Linked DNA regions of Oryzias latipes. The protein of the gene in region 2 interacts with the protein of the main gene of each other region in a biochemical or structural test. Links are inferred from orthologs where the notes say so. Each region holds a gene or a part of one and is shown on either strand. Other genes may lie near its edges.

Evidence for each region.
Region 1: the proteins of tnrc6a (region 2) and protein argonaute-2 form a complex in vitro, tested with the Homo sapiens proteins (2 studies listed by BioGRID). The link is inferred for Oryzias latipes from reciprocal best matches to the Homo sapiens genes TNRC6A and AGO2.
Region 3: the proteins of tnrc6a (region 2) and cnot1 form a complex in vitro, tested with the Homo sapiens proteins (2 studies listed by BioGRID). The link is inferred for Oryzias latipes from reciprocal best matches to the Homo sapiens genes TNRC6A and CNOT1.

What each region holds. Positions count from the first base shown.
Region 1 is NC_019869.2:10,709,194-10,712,712, reverse strand, and holds part of protein argonaute-2, read right to left. Parts: intron 2,707-3,519; coding exon 2,522-2,706; intron 1,916-2,521; coding exon 1,756-1,915; intron 1,623-1,755; coding exon 1,532-1,622; intron 1,273-1,531; coding exon 1,078-1,272; intron 1-1,077.
Region 2 is NC_019866.2:17,690,830-17,695,022, reverse strand, and holds the start of tnrc6a (trinucleotide repeat-containing gene 6A protein), read right to left. Parts: upstream 2,814-4,193; 5' UTR 2,605-2,813; intron 1,254-2,604; exon of another isoform or gene 1,202-1,253; intron 1-1,201.
Region 3 is NC_019864.2:25,876,139-25,879,204, forward strand, and holds the end of cnot1 (CCR4-NOT transcription complex subunit 1), read right to left. Parts: coding exon 2,953-3,066; intron 2,021-2,952; coding exon 1,871-2,020; intron 1,793-1,870; coding exon 1,612-1,792; intron 1,535-1,611; coding exon 1,402-1,534; intron 1,324-1,401; coding exon 1,189-1,323; intron 580-1,188; coding exon 501-579; downstream 1-500.

The sequences.
Region 1 (3,519 bases), on a different chromosome or scaffold from region 2:
ACTGTAAACTCAAATTTAAAGGACAGATTTACTAAGCAGAACCGTTGACGTCAGATCTTGAAGAATTTTGCCCCGGGGCTCGTTTAATACCGGGGCTCGGTACCCATCCCTAGGAAAGGGGCACGGTGGAGAACAATCACCAAAGCGGTTGCTTTGCATACAGCCAAAGACATGGTACCCATGTATACCGGGGAGAAGTTGGGGTTTGTTAATTTAATTAAAACCTTAGACCCCAGATATGAGCTGTATTGTTAATCCTTTAGAAAATGCTGCTACTCTCAAGGTGAATGTTTGTCTACTTTTAGTCTAGACTACAAAGTGTGACTGAAAATACAGCTGGGACTTTGATTCCAAGAGTGTGTTCATTTATTTACTATTCATCCCAGAAATGGAGGTTACATTTGTCTTCCGTTTCATTAAATAAAAGCAAAATTTGCTTTAAGTTAGGCCTGGGTAGAAAAAATTGATTGAATGAATTACTTCAAATTTTTTGTTACGGGCGATTTCAAAAATAACTAAATTGAGTTTTGTGTAATGGCGCATTTTTGGCTCCCCAGAGCTTCCGTAGCGTTAGTTTCACACAGCGGTATGGCCAGCGACAAACAACATCATACCACCAGAAAACAGCAAGCGACAACATGGCTAGCGGTGAGAGTGGAACGTTTGTTCCCAAGAAAGGAATAAAATCATCTGTTGCTTGGAACTGGTTAGTTTGCTGCCACAGACGTGTGGCAGCAACATCTGTGCCCCCCCACGCTGCAACATTTGCCTAAAGCCCATCGCAGTCAAAGGCTCTCACTCACTTTAGCGAGGCACGCCTATACAGTTAGTTCATTAGTTAGATAGTTAGTTGTTACTGTTATTTGTTAATAAAGAATACTGCGTTGTAATTATTACTTGTACTGGTCTTCATTTGAGACACGGCTGCCAGAGGATTTTTGGGAAAAGAAAATCTGGATTTTCCCAAAAATAAATCGTCCATAACAACAAATTTGAAAAAATCAATAAAATCAATTTATCGCCCAGCCCTAAGACACAAAATTCAAAGTTTTATGGTCAATCCTTTACAAGCATTACCTGGTTGAACTGGCCCTCAGAGATGCCATCTCGATAGTAAATGATCCGAGTGGGCTTGAAGCGTGTGGACTTGTAGAACTGGATCAGCAGCTCCCTCACCATGTTGGCCAGGTCTTGGATGATATCTTGGCGGTGCTGCTGCACTCGCACTGTGGCACAGTATCGACTGGGATGAGCATCCATGCTACCAACCACCTACAGAGCAGGAAAATAAGCTTTAAACGTCAATTTAAGCAGTGTACTGTAGATTATTCATGGAACTACAGACAACAACTTCAATAAATACGCTTTCAAAGCTGCTGTACAATTATAGTTGGTCAAGCAGGAGCAAACTACTGGTCACCTTGGAGCAACAGTCATTTTGGACATAATTATGAAAGGGAAAAACTAATAATAGCAGTGACATTTACATGATCTAGTAAATTAGTAAAAGATGAATTTGAATGTCACCCACAGCAGCAATGGAAGGTTTCTTTCCATCTCCAGCAGGGGGATGAGTCACATCTGAACCCAGGAAAATCACAGGCTGCTGGAAAACCATGGGCCTGGAAACGGAGGAGGCAAAAGCTCCAAACATTAAAACACAGCATGGAGTATTTTTAAGCCTCAAAAGAGTAAGAACAAAAGGCAAAATACACATTTTACTGAGGAACGAGTTAAAATGAGTCGTCACTTTACCTGCCCTGAGGGAGGAGGATGTTGTTGACTCCACCCAGCTTGACATTGATCTTCAAGCAGAGGTTGGAGAGAGTCTGGGGTGTGGTCTTCTGCACATTTTTGACCTGCACACACTGAGTCGCCATTCCAAGTACTGTATCCCCGACACGCTTCACCTCAGCTAGGAAATACACAACGTCAGAAAGATGTAAGGAATACTTTTTTTTTGCATCATAATTAGTGTACACCTGTTTAATGATCCCTTTAGAAAGACACACACCATGAGGGGCTCCACCTTTTCTTTTTACATCATAGTCCATTTAAACTAATATTAACTCATTTTAGCTTGTTAATTCCAGTAAGTTAAAAAATATATATTTTTCCATGGGGAATTCTACCACTTTAAATCCATAACATTACTTTTAACCACAAATCTTCTCTTTCATGTTGAACTGAACAGTTACATTAATAAAAAAAACCTGATCTTTTTAAAATACAAATCTACCTTTGACCAATTATGCATCGTTATAATCTTACACAAAACCGGATGTAAGAAAATTGCATCCATGTCCAACTCAGTGGGAGTGAAGAGAGTTCGCTCTGAGACTGGAGGGTCGTGAGTTCAATTCTCCTCTAAAAGATGGGACCCAATGCCTCCCTGCACCACATTCAGCATTAAAAGAGTTGGATTGGGGGGTTTAACCAACAAATGGTTCTGTCTGGGGCTCACTGCTCCCCCAGGGGATGGATCAAATGCAGGGAACAGATAAGCGGGACTTTAACTTACCATAGACGGGTGTCTTTCCAGGGAGGATGACCACCACCAGCTGAAGTCCCTGGTAAGTGTACTTGAGGTGTCTGAACATGGGCTCCACGCTGTCTGCTCCCTGGGCGTACTTGCAGAAGCATGGCTGACCTTGGATGGGCATCCCAGCATCGCGAGAGATCTTCCTTAGCTGATCAGTAAAAGCTCTGAGGAATAAAGACAGAAAATGGTTCAATATTTAAAAAGCCTTTGGACTCCGTTAAGCTTCAAATGAGAATCTACCTCGTCCAGCAAAGAAAAACATTTACTGTCAACAAAAACTTGAGCGTTTTAACCTCAAAAACTCTTCTTGTTTTTTTTGTTGTTAATTTAAAATTTTAAAGATTTCCATAACTTAAGACTACATAAAATAAATAAACCCCTTGATGCCTGAATTAATGTCCTGCTATGGAAAAAATAAAAAATAATTTTGCTTTCATGCAAATGCTCGATTAAAGTAGATTTGGAGCCGAAGTATCCTTATTATCAGTATCTTGATCCATATTTGCATCAATAGGCGTCAAGGGATTAAAGGGTCATTACCAATCAGTGCACTGTGAGAATCAGCTACACAAATCCTACAAGCACTCCCACTCCCACAAAGCCTCACAGACAGAACTGGACTGGATGCACAAGCAAAAACTGACTAACAGGACTTTTCTTAAAGCTCCAGAGTTTTGGGATTTGTTTCAGAAATCTCCGATAAAACAAAGATTTTGAGCTTTGTGCATTTCAAATCCGGCTGCAGAATATTTTGAGAAAAAATTTTTTTTAATCTCATTTTGAAAGTTTTAATTATTCTTTTTAAAACGTATAGCAGTAACTTTTGCTCCATATTGTTCCGCATTCACATCTTCGAGTGTTGGAGCTTAAAGTGCACCACATCATCTCGACCACACATGCTCCAATCGTGTTTATGAGTGGATTTTCATCAAACCAGTTTGGTGGGACACAAACATGACTTTTGAAGAGGATGCAGA
Region 2 (4,193 bases):
TAAAAGCAAACCACCATAATAGAGTATATTGGTAAACACCATGAGTTGACTTAACAGGATTGTTTTCTTCACAAAATAAAAATTCGGGTAATTTTCCTACTCCAGATAAGAGAATTGACCAAGCAGATCTAACACTAAATAACTGGTTACTGAAACCAGCAATAGTGGTCATAACTGAACCGTTTGAGTATACAAAGTAGTCATGAGACATAGTCCTATTGTGTGCTTACATGTGCAATGATTGTCTAAACACAATGAGCAGTACAAACACCTCCCTGTGCACAACACATCAGGACGCTGGCTTCTCATTTAGAAATGGGGGGAAAGGCTACAATTCAGCACAATGTGACCTGACCAACCCAGACCCCCCAATTCAATTCAAACGGAACTGCATGTGCTAGCATAAGCAGGCGCAGCTCATCCCAAGCCCCCGCCCCTCCCAGCGGCTTCCCAAACTCACAACGCTGACAGAACATCACTCAGACAGCCATGACATCATATACTGGGATTCAGAAAATGTATTGCTTTCACTTTGGTTTACACTGATAATTCAACAAATCAGATGGGGTATGGTTAAACCTATTAAACATTTGTGACAAAACACCCCAAAGAAAGACCCACTCAAATCATCTTTGGATCTATTTTAAAAGCATCCAGTGATGTTTTAATTATGATAATGATTTAATTATGATTTTTAGCCAAAATCAAACACCAGTGAGAGCAGCAGCAGTTCATTAGAAATTCACCTCCGAGTTGTGGACAGGACTGTTTGTGTGGAGTAAGTCCGCCCCCACTTCCCATCATACATCTGTTTACATGCTTTCCCACAAGTTTACAGCCCCTTACAACCCCAACCTAACATTAGCGGTGCAACAAAAATGGCGAGCAAAATTTGAAGCTATCCAGCTGTACAGTTGACCCAGATGCCAGCTCAGACGAGGAAAACAAAGACAGACATGGATCTGGTCGTCTACAAGTGGTTGCATAAGAATGGCTTGCCAACGTTTTTTCTACATCACAAATACAATCCATTTCAAACTGCATTTTCCCCCTCTGCTCCTGATTAACCATTAGTCAAGAAAAAGTCAGAAATGCAGTTTTGAACATAAATTTGTTTATATATGTCACCAATCATCATTAACTGCATTAAACCATTTCAGCATCACCAACAGTTTCCTGGGTTTAAAAGAGTTTCACTCACCCGTTAAGACGCTTTAGTTTCTTTGGTGGCAACAGTTTCCAATTCCAAATCTCTTTAGCAAAAAGAGAAAGGAAATAGTTTATTCCCAAAGATAAATGAATAAAGTTAAGTGTAACCAGAACATTTTCCTGCAGAAAGTACCCGATTGTGCAAGAAAATGATTCTAGTGAACACCATAGTACAAGTTCCCAGAGGCATTAACTTGTAATATGACCTGCAAACTTTGAAACATTCCTAAAATCACATTCAGGGCAAACATCCAAATTATCCTGCACGCATAGACACTAGCATGAAGTATTATGCAAGTTCAGTACATACACTCAAAGTGAACTGTGGTGAAATGCACGTTTACACTGCCTTAACGTGGTACAGAGGTTTCTTACAGCTCGTCAAAGTGAAGGGAAACCAAGTGCGTGTAAAGTGACAGCAGGGGACAGTGAGAGTCTGTGTAGGTCAAAGTTACAAGTCGGGTCCTGAACGGCCATTATCTCAGCTGTTGCCCGACTTGCAGCTTAACCAACATGGCTTCTCTCTCCAGCTGTAGGTTTGCAATCAAATCTAAGAACCTCGAGTGATAAGTAAATTTACCACCGATGCATATTCATCTAAACTCTGATGTCCACCTCGGTGTTGTAAGATCAGGACGAAAAGTAATGTGGATTTGACTACAAAAAAACCCAGACCAGATTAGGGGTTTAGGGGTATTGCTGTCGTACCGCTTTATACCATAGGGGGCTTTTATCTAACAACTCCGCAGGTTAATTTCAATATAGATTTGAAATTAATTCATGACATTTTTAATTTATATGCGAAGTGATAGTAGTAAAACAGTGTTCTTAATGCAATTTGTGCACAGTATTACCTGTTCCCACCGACGAACCTGCGTCGTCAAATTAGCATGTTGCTAAGCTAATGCTAATAGCAACTACGAGGTATTTTTCCTCTAATTTAGCGATATTGGTAAGTTGTTTACAGAGAACAATGATAGTCTAGACAAAGTAAAAAAAAAATACATTTAAGACAATTAGTTAACAAAATACGCATTTTCCTAGCTACAAACATACAGCGACCAATCTAGAATAGTTAAGCGAAAGGACAAGGTTAAACCGCCTTGTTAACACATTTAAAATGGCTTTATTTTTCATTTGCGTTTAGGAAAAAACAAACGAGAGTTGCATCTTTAGCAAAACTATAAAACCAAACCGCCTTTCTAAACGCAACCTGATAGGATAGGAAAGGATAGCATAGTAGTACTTAACAATATTAGCTCCGTCATAGCTAACTAAACAACAGCGGCTGGTCAACTTATCTACCGACCTCTGGTCTTTCCTCCAGCTCCTTGCCTGCATAGCTTAACACAAGAACATAAATAAAAAATAAATAAAAATTAAAACAAAACTTACCTCATTGAAATATAAAGTGCAACAGAGAGTGGAAAATAAACTAAGTAAGGCTAAAGAAATGCAATGCGTTTGCAGCATCTACGAGTGGGGGCATTCATCCTCTGCACGATCGCCATTTTCTTGGCTCGCCGCTTTCGTTTGTGCTCTACGCTCCCCTCCTCTCTGCGTTCACTCCGTAGACATTAATAAGGTTTACACTGGCTCAGGCTGTGTACGTGTGTGATTCTAAGAGGGGGGAAGGAGGCGGGGGCGGAAACGCATAACCACTTCCTCTGACTGAGAAGACAAAACGCTGTAAAAACAAACAAACAAGAAAAACAATATATTATAGAAAAGCTATTCAGTCGCATTAAATTCTGCTTTCATCAGACAAACATAAACAAAAGTATATTGTTTGACGATTTATAAATTTATTAAAATTTAAGAAAAAAATTTGATGTAAGATTTGAAACACATAGGAAATGCTGTCCGTTTTAAATTTGTCTCAAATTATAGAATTTTGAAAGTGTGTCACTCCCCATCTAAAACATACTTTGGTATTTCTACATAGTTAAAGTTTGATGGCAAGTACGACAATTGTGACAAATAAATGCACATTTTGTGTATGAAATTACACATTTAAAGCAAAATACTTTAACTTGTGGATGAACAAGACAAGGAACTTTCCTTTAATAAATTTGTAAAATCAACTGAAAATGGACAAAACTAGAAAACTATTGACAAGGTAAAAATACTTATAAATACAAATACTAATAAAATACTAATAAATAATAGTAATAAATAAATTATACATATACATATACATATATATATATATATATATATATATATATATATATATATATATATATATATATATATATATATATATATATATATATATATATATATATATATATATATATATTGTCTATCTATCTATCTATCTATCTATCTATCTATCTATCTATCTATCTATCTATCTATCTATCTCTCTCTCTCTCTCTCTCTCTCTCTCTCTCTTTCTTTCTCTCTCTCTCTCTCTCTATCTATATATATATATACATACATATATTTATATATGTCTATAAAACTAAAAACAAATGCCCCTCTAACCCTTCCGCAGGTGGTTTCTCCTCCAAGCTCGGGTCCTCTTCCAGAGGCCTGGGAGCTTGAAGGTCCTGTGCAGTATCTTGGCTGTTCCTAGCACTGCGCTTTTCTGGACTGAGAGGTTTGAGGTCTTTTCAGGGATCTGTTGCAGCCACTCCTCCAGCTTGGGGGTTACTGCCCTGAGTGTTCCAATTACCACAGGCACCACTGTCACCTTCACTTTCCATGCTTTCTCCAGTTCTTCTGAGTCCCTGGTATTTCTTCAGTTTCTCATGTTCCTTCTTCCTGATGTTCCCATCGCTTGGCACTGCCACATCCACCACAATGGCTTTCCTCTGTTCTTTATCCACCACTACAATGTCTGGTTGGTTCGCCATTACCATCCTTATCAGTCTGGATCTGGAAGTCCCACAGGATCTTTGCCCTCTCATTCTCTACCACCTTCAGAGGTGTTTCCCATTTTGACCTTGGGGTTTCCAGTCCATATTCTGCACACATGT
Region 3 (3,066 bases), on a different chromosome or scaffold from region 2:
AACCAAAGAAAAAATTATATCAGACAGTTGTTTTTTTTCTTTTCTTTTTTTGGTAACTACCGTTCACCTCTCAAAAAAACAAAACAAGAAAAAAAAAAAGACTTGTGTTGGAGGGAAGGAACTGAGGACTTTGGTAGTAAATGTTCTGTACAGACCAGGACACATTTGACATGTGCAGCCAAATCCATCCATCCACTTCCCTGCTCTCCCTTTTCTTCTTCAATATTTACATCAATGGTCAAAATAAGCTCACATCTGTCCTCTCAACTCAAGCTTAACGGGAAAAGCTTAAAAAAAAGAAGAAAAAAAAATCTCTTTAAATCCGTGAGCAGCAGTCCTTCCATTCACATTTCACGACTGCAGGAGCCGGTTTTGTCCAGTGCCAACGGTGAAGTGGGGGGGGTCCGTGTGCTGGGGGGGCGGGGCGGGTCAAGGCCACGAATTTCTCTCCCGGGTGCTTTGAGCTGGTGGCTGCGCAGGCTAGCTGGTGGCTGCGCAGGCTAGCTGGCACTGGTGCCCTCCATTACCTGCTGGGCCTGTTTCTGCCCCATGCAGCACTGGGCGACGGACTGGAACAGCCTGGGGGCAGACGGACAGGTTAACGCAGACGGACAGGTATTCGCAGACGGACAGGTGAACGCAGACGGACAGGTATTCGCAGACGGACAGGTGAACGCAGACGGACAGGTAAACGTAGACGGACAGGTGAACGCAGACGGACAGGTAAACGCAGACGGACAAGTGAACGCAGACGGACAGGTGAACGCAGACGGACAGGTGAACGCAGACGGACAGGTAAACGCAGACGGACAGGTAAACGCAGACGGACAGGTAAACGCAGACGGACAGGTAAACGCAGACGGACAGGTGAACGCAGACGAACAGGTGAACGCAGACGGACAGGTGAACGCAGACGGACAGGTTAGCGCAGACGGACAGGTAATCGCAGACGGACAGGTGAACGCAGACGGACAGGTGAACGCAGACGGACAGGTTAGCGCAGACGGACAGGTAAACGCAGACGGACAGGTGAACGCAGACAGACAGGTGAACGCAGACAGACAGGTGAACGCAGACGGACAGGTTAGCGCAGACGGACAGGTAAACGCAGACGGACAGGTGAACGCAGACGGACAGGTGAACGCAAGCGCCCACAAACCGGACCTGAACCTGGGGTGGTGAACTTACTTCTCGATCTCGGGGGCACAGTGCACAAAGTCGTGACTCCAGAACTTAAAGGCAGGGTTCTTGATGAGCTCGATGAAGGTGATAAGGAGCCCCCACGGATGAGGCCTGTTCACGATCAGCCTCTCCAACAGAACCCTGAGAACCAGAGAGCCTACGATTAACAGGACATCCGGTGTTCACACATCAGGACGGGACAGGACGGGACCTCCCCACCTGGTGATCTGCTCCTGGATGGCCTCAGTATTGGCCTCAGCGAACAGGTACAGCATGGTGCAGCTGAAATAATGGGTGTGGCTGTTGGGGTAGCGCAGCTGATTGGCGATGGCGTTCAAAAACAAGTATCGCCCTGAAAAATCACAAAAGCAGAGATGTGAGGAGAGAGGCAACGAGAATGCTCCAAAAGTCAGCCAGACCCAAACAAACCCTCAGTGTCCAGGTCCACAGCCAGGTTCTGGAAGATGTCCATGTGTGCAGAGTGGGTGATGGTGCTCATTGAGGGGGTGCTGCCCTTGTTGTGAATATGAGCGATGGCCTGTGTGCCCACGTACAACACCAAGGCGTTGATCAGCTGAATGTTGTAGCGGTTTCCTGGTTCGTTTGACACCTGCCAGGCAGAGTTCACAGAAACCTCAGCCGCTGTGAAAACAGTTTTTGTAGCAGAAGGTTCTGGTTCTGGTTCTACCTGCAGGTTGCTGCGCAGCTCAGAGAGGAAGGTAACCGGAGAGCGCGTCTTCAGGTACGAGTCCAGATCCTTCTTAAACTGAGAGGGCATCACGCCCGTGAAGTTGGTGAGGATTCGGGGAGCAATGTTGATCTCACTCAGCATGTCCACCTGTGGGGGGATGGGCGTCATGTCAGACAGGTTGAAGTGCCAATCCCATCGTCTTTTGATCTATTTTCAAAGCATTCCCAGTGTTTTTTTTAATTATACTTATGCAGTATTTAGCCCACATCAAAAAAACTGTTGTTTTCTAGGACTTAGTTTCTGTAGAGCAGCAGTAGTTAATTAGAAATTCACTTCCTCGCTGTTGTGAAGCAGAGTGGGGCAGACAGCTTGTGCCCCGCACATGGGACTTTTTTTGTCTGATTGGGATTCACAATAATTTAAATAAAGAAACACTTCAGTTACGGATCCATGTGACGCTCGTCTAGATGGTACTTTCTGCACATTTGCAATGCACATTTTAGCCCATGGTGTTCACACTGGACAAGCAGGGAGGGGCTTCTTACTCATGTTTCCGTATCTCCGACACCTACAGTTGGAACAGGCTTGGTGTGAAATGTGGAATCGGTTTTCCGACTCTGTGTCATAAAATTCCGGTCGGGCACAAACCCCAATTATCTATTTCTCTTCCATGATCAATTTTCATACCGTTGGCACTTCTGTGAATTAAAAAGGACCCCATCCTTACGTTACTACCAAATCTGAGTCCCTGATTGGTCCAAGTTCAACTGGTTTAACTTGCAATGTGCGTTCAATGGTCACGTATTTTATACGTACAACCGTGGTAGAAACTTGGTTAGCTAAGCGAGAGTTTTGAACACGGAAGACCAAACCGCTGGTTTACCCAGACTTTTCATTCAAAATGAACACGTGTTGCCGGGGGCGGTGTGAACATAACTTCATAAATGCAATTATAATCTTCATTTTCTTTGTACACGTCGTCAATCAGGAGAAAAGTGCCACAAGGACATGTTGACGGAATGGGTCTGTAAGATCGGAGTGATGGTTCTGAATGACAGGCACAGTCGGGGCTCTCTTACCTTCAGGTTGGGGGTGAACGGGTCAGGGAGCCTCATGTTGCGTGGGAAGGCACTGAGGATGAGGTTGCGGAGCTGGATGCAGTTGGGTGGGATGACATCACAGAAGCCGTAATG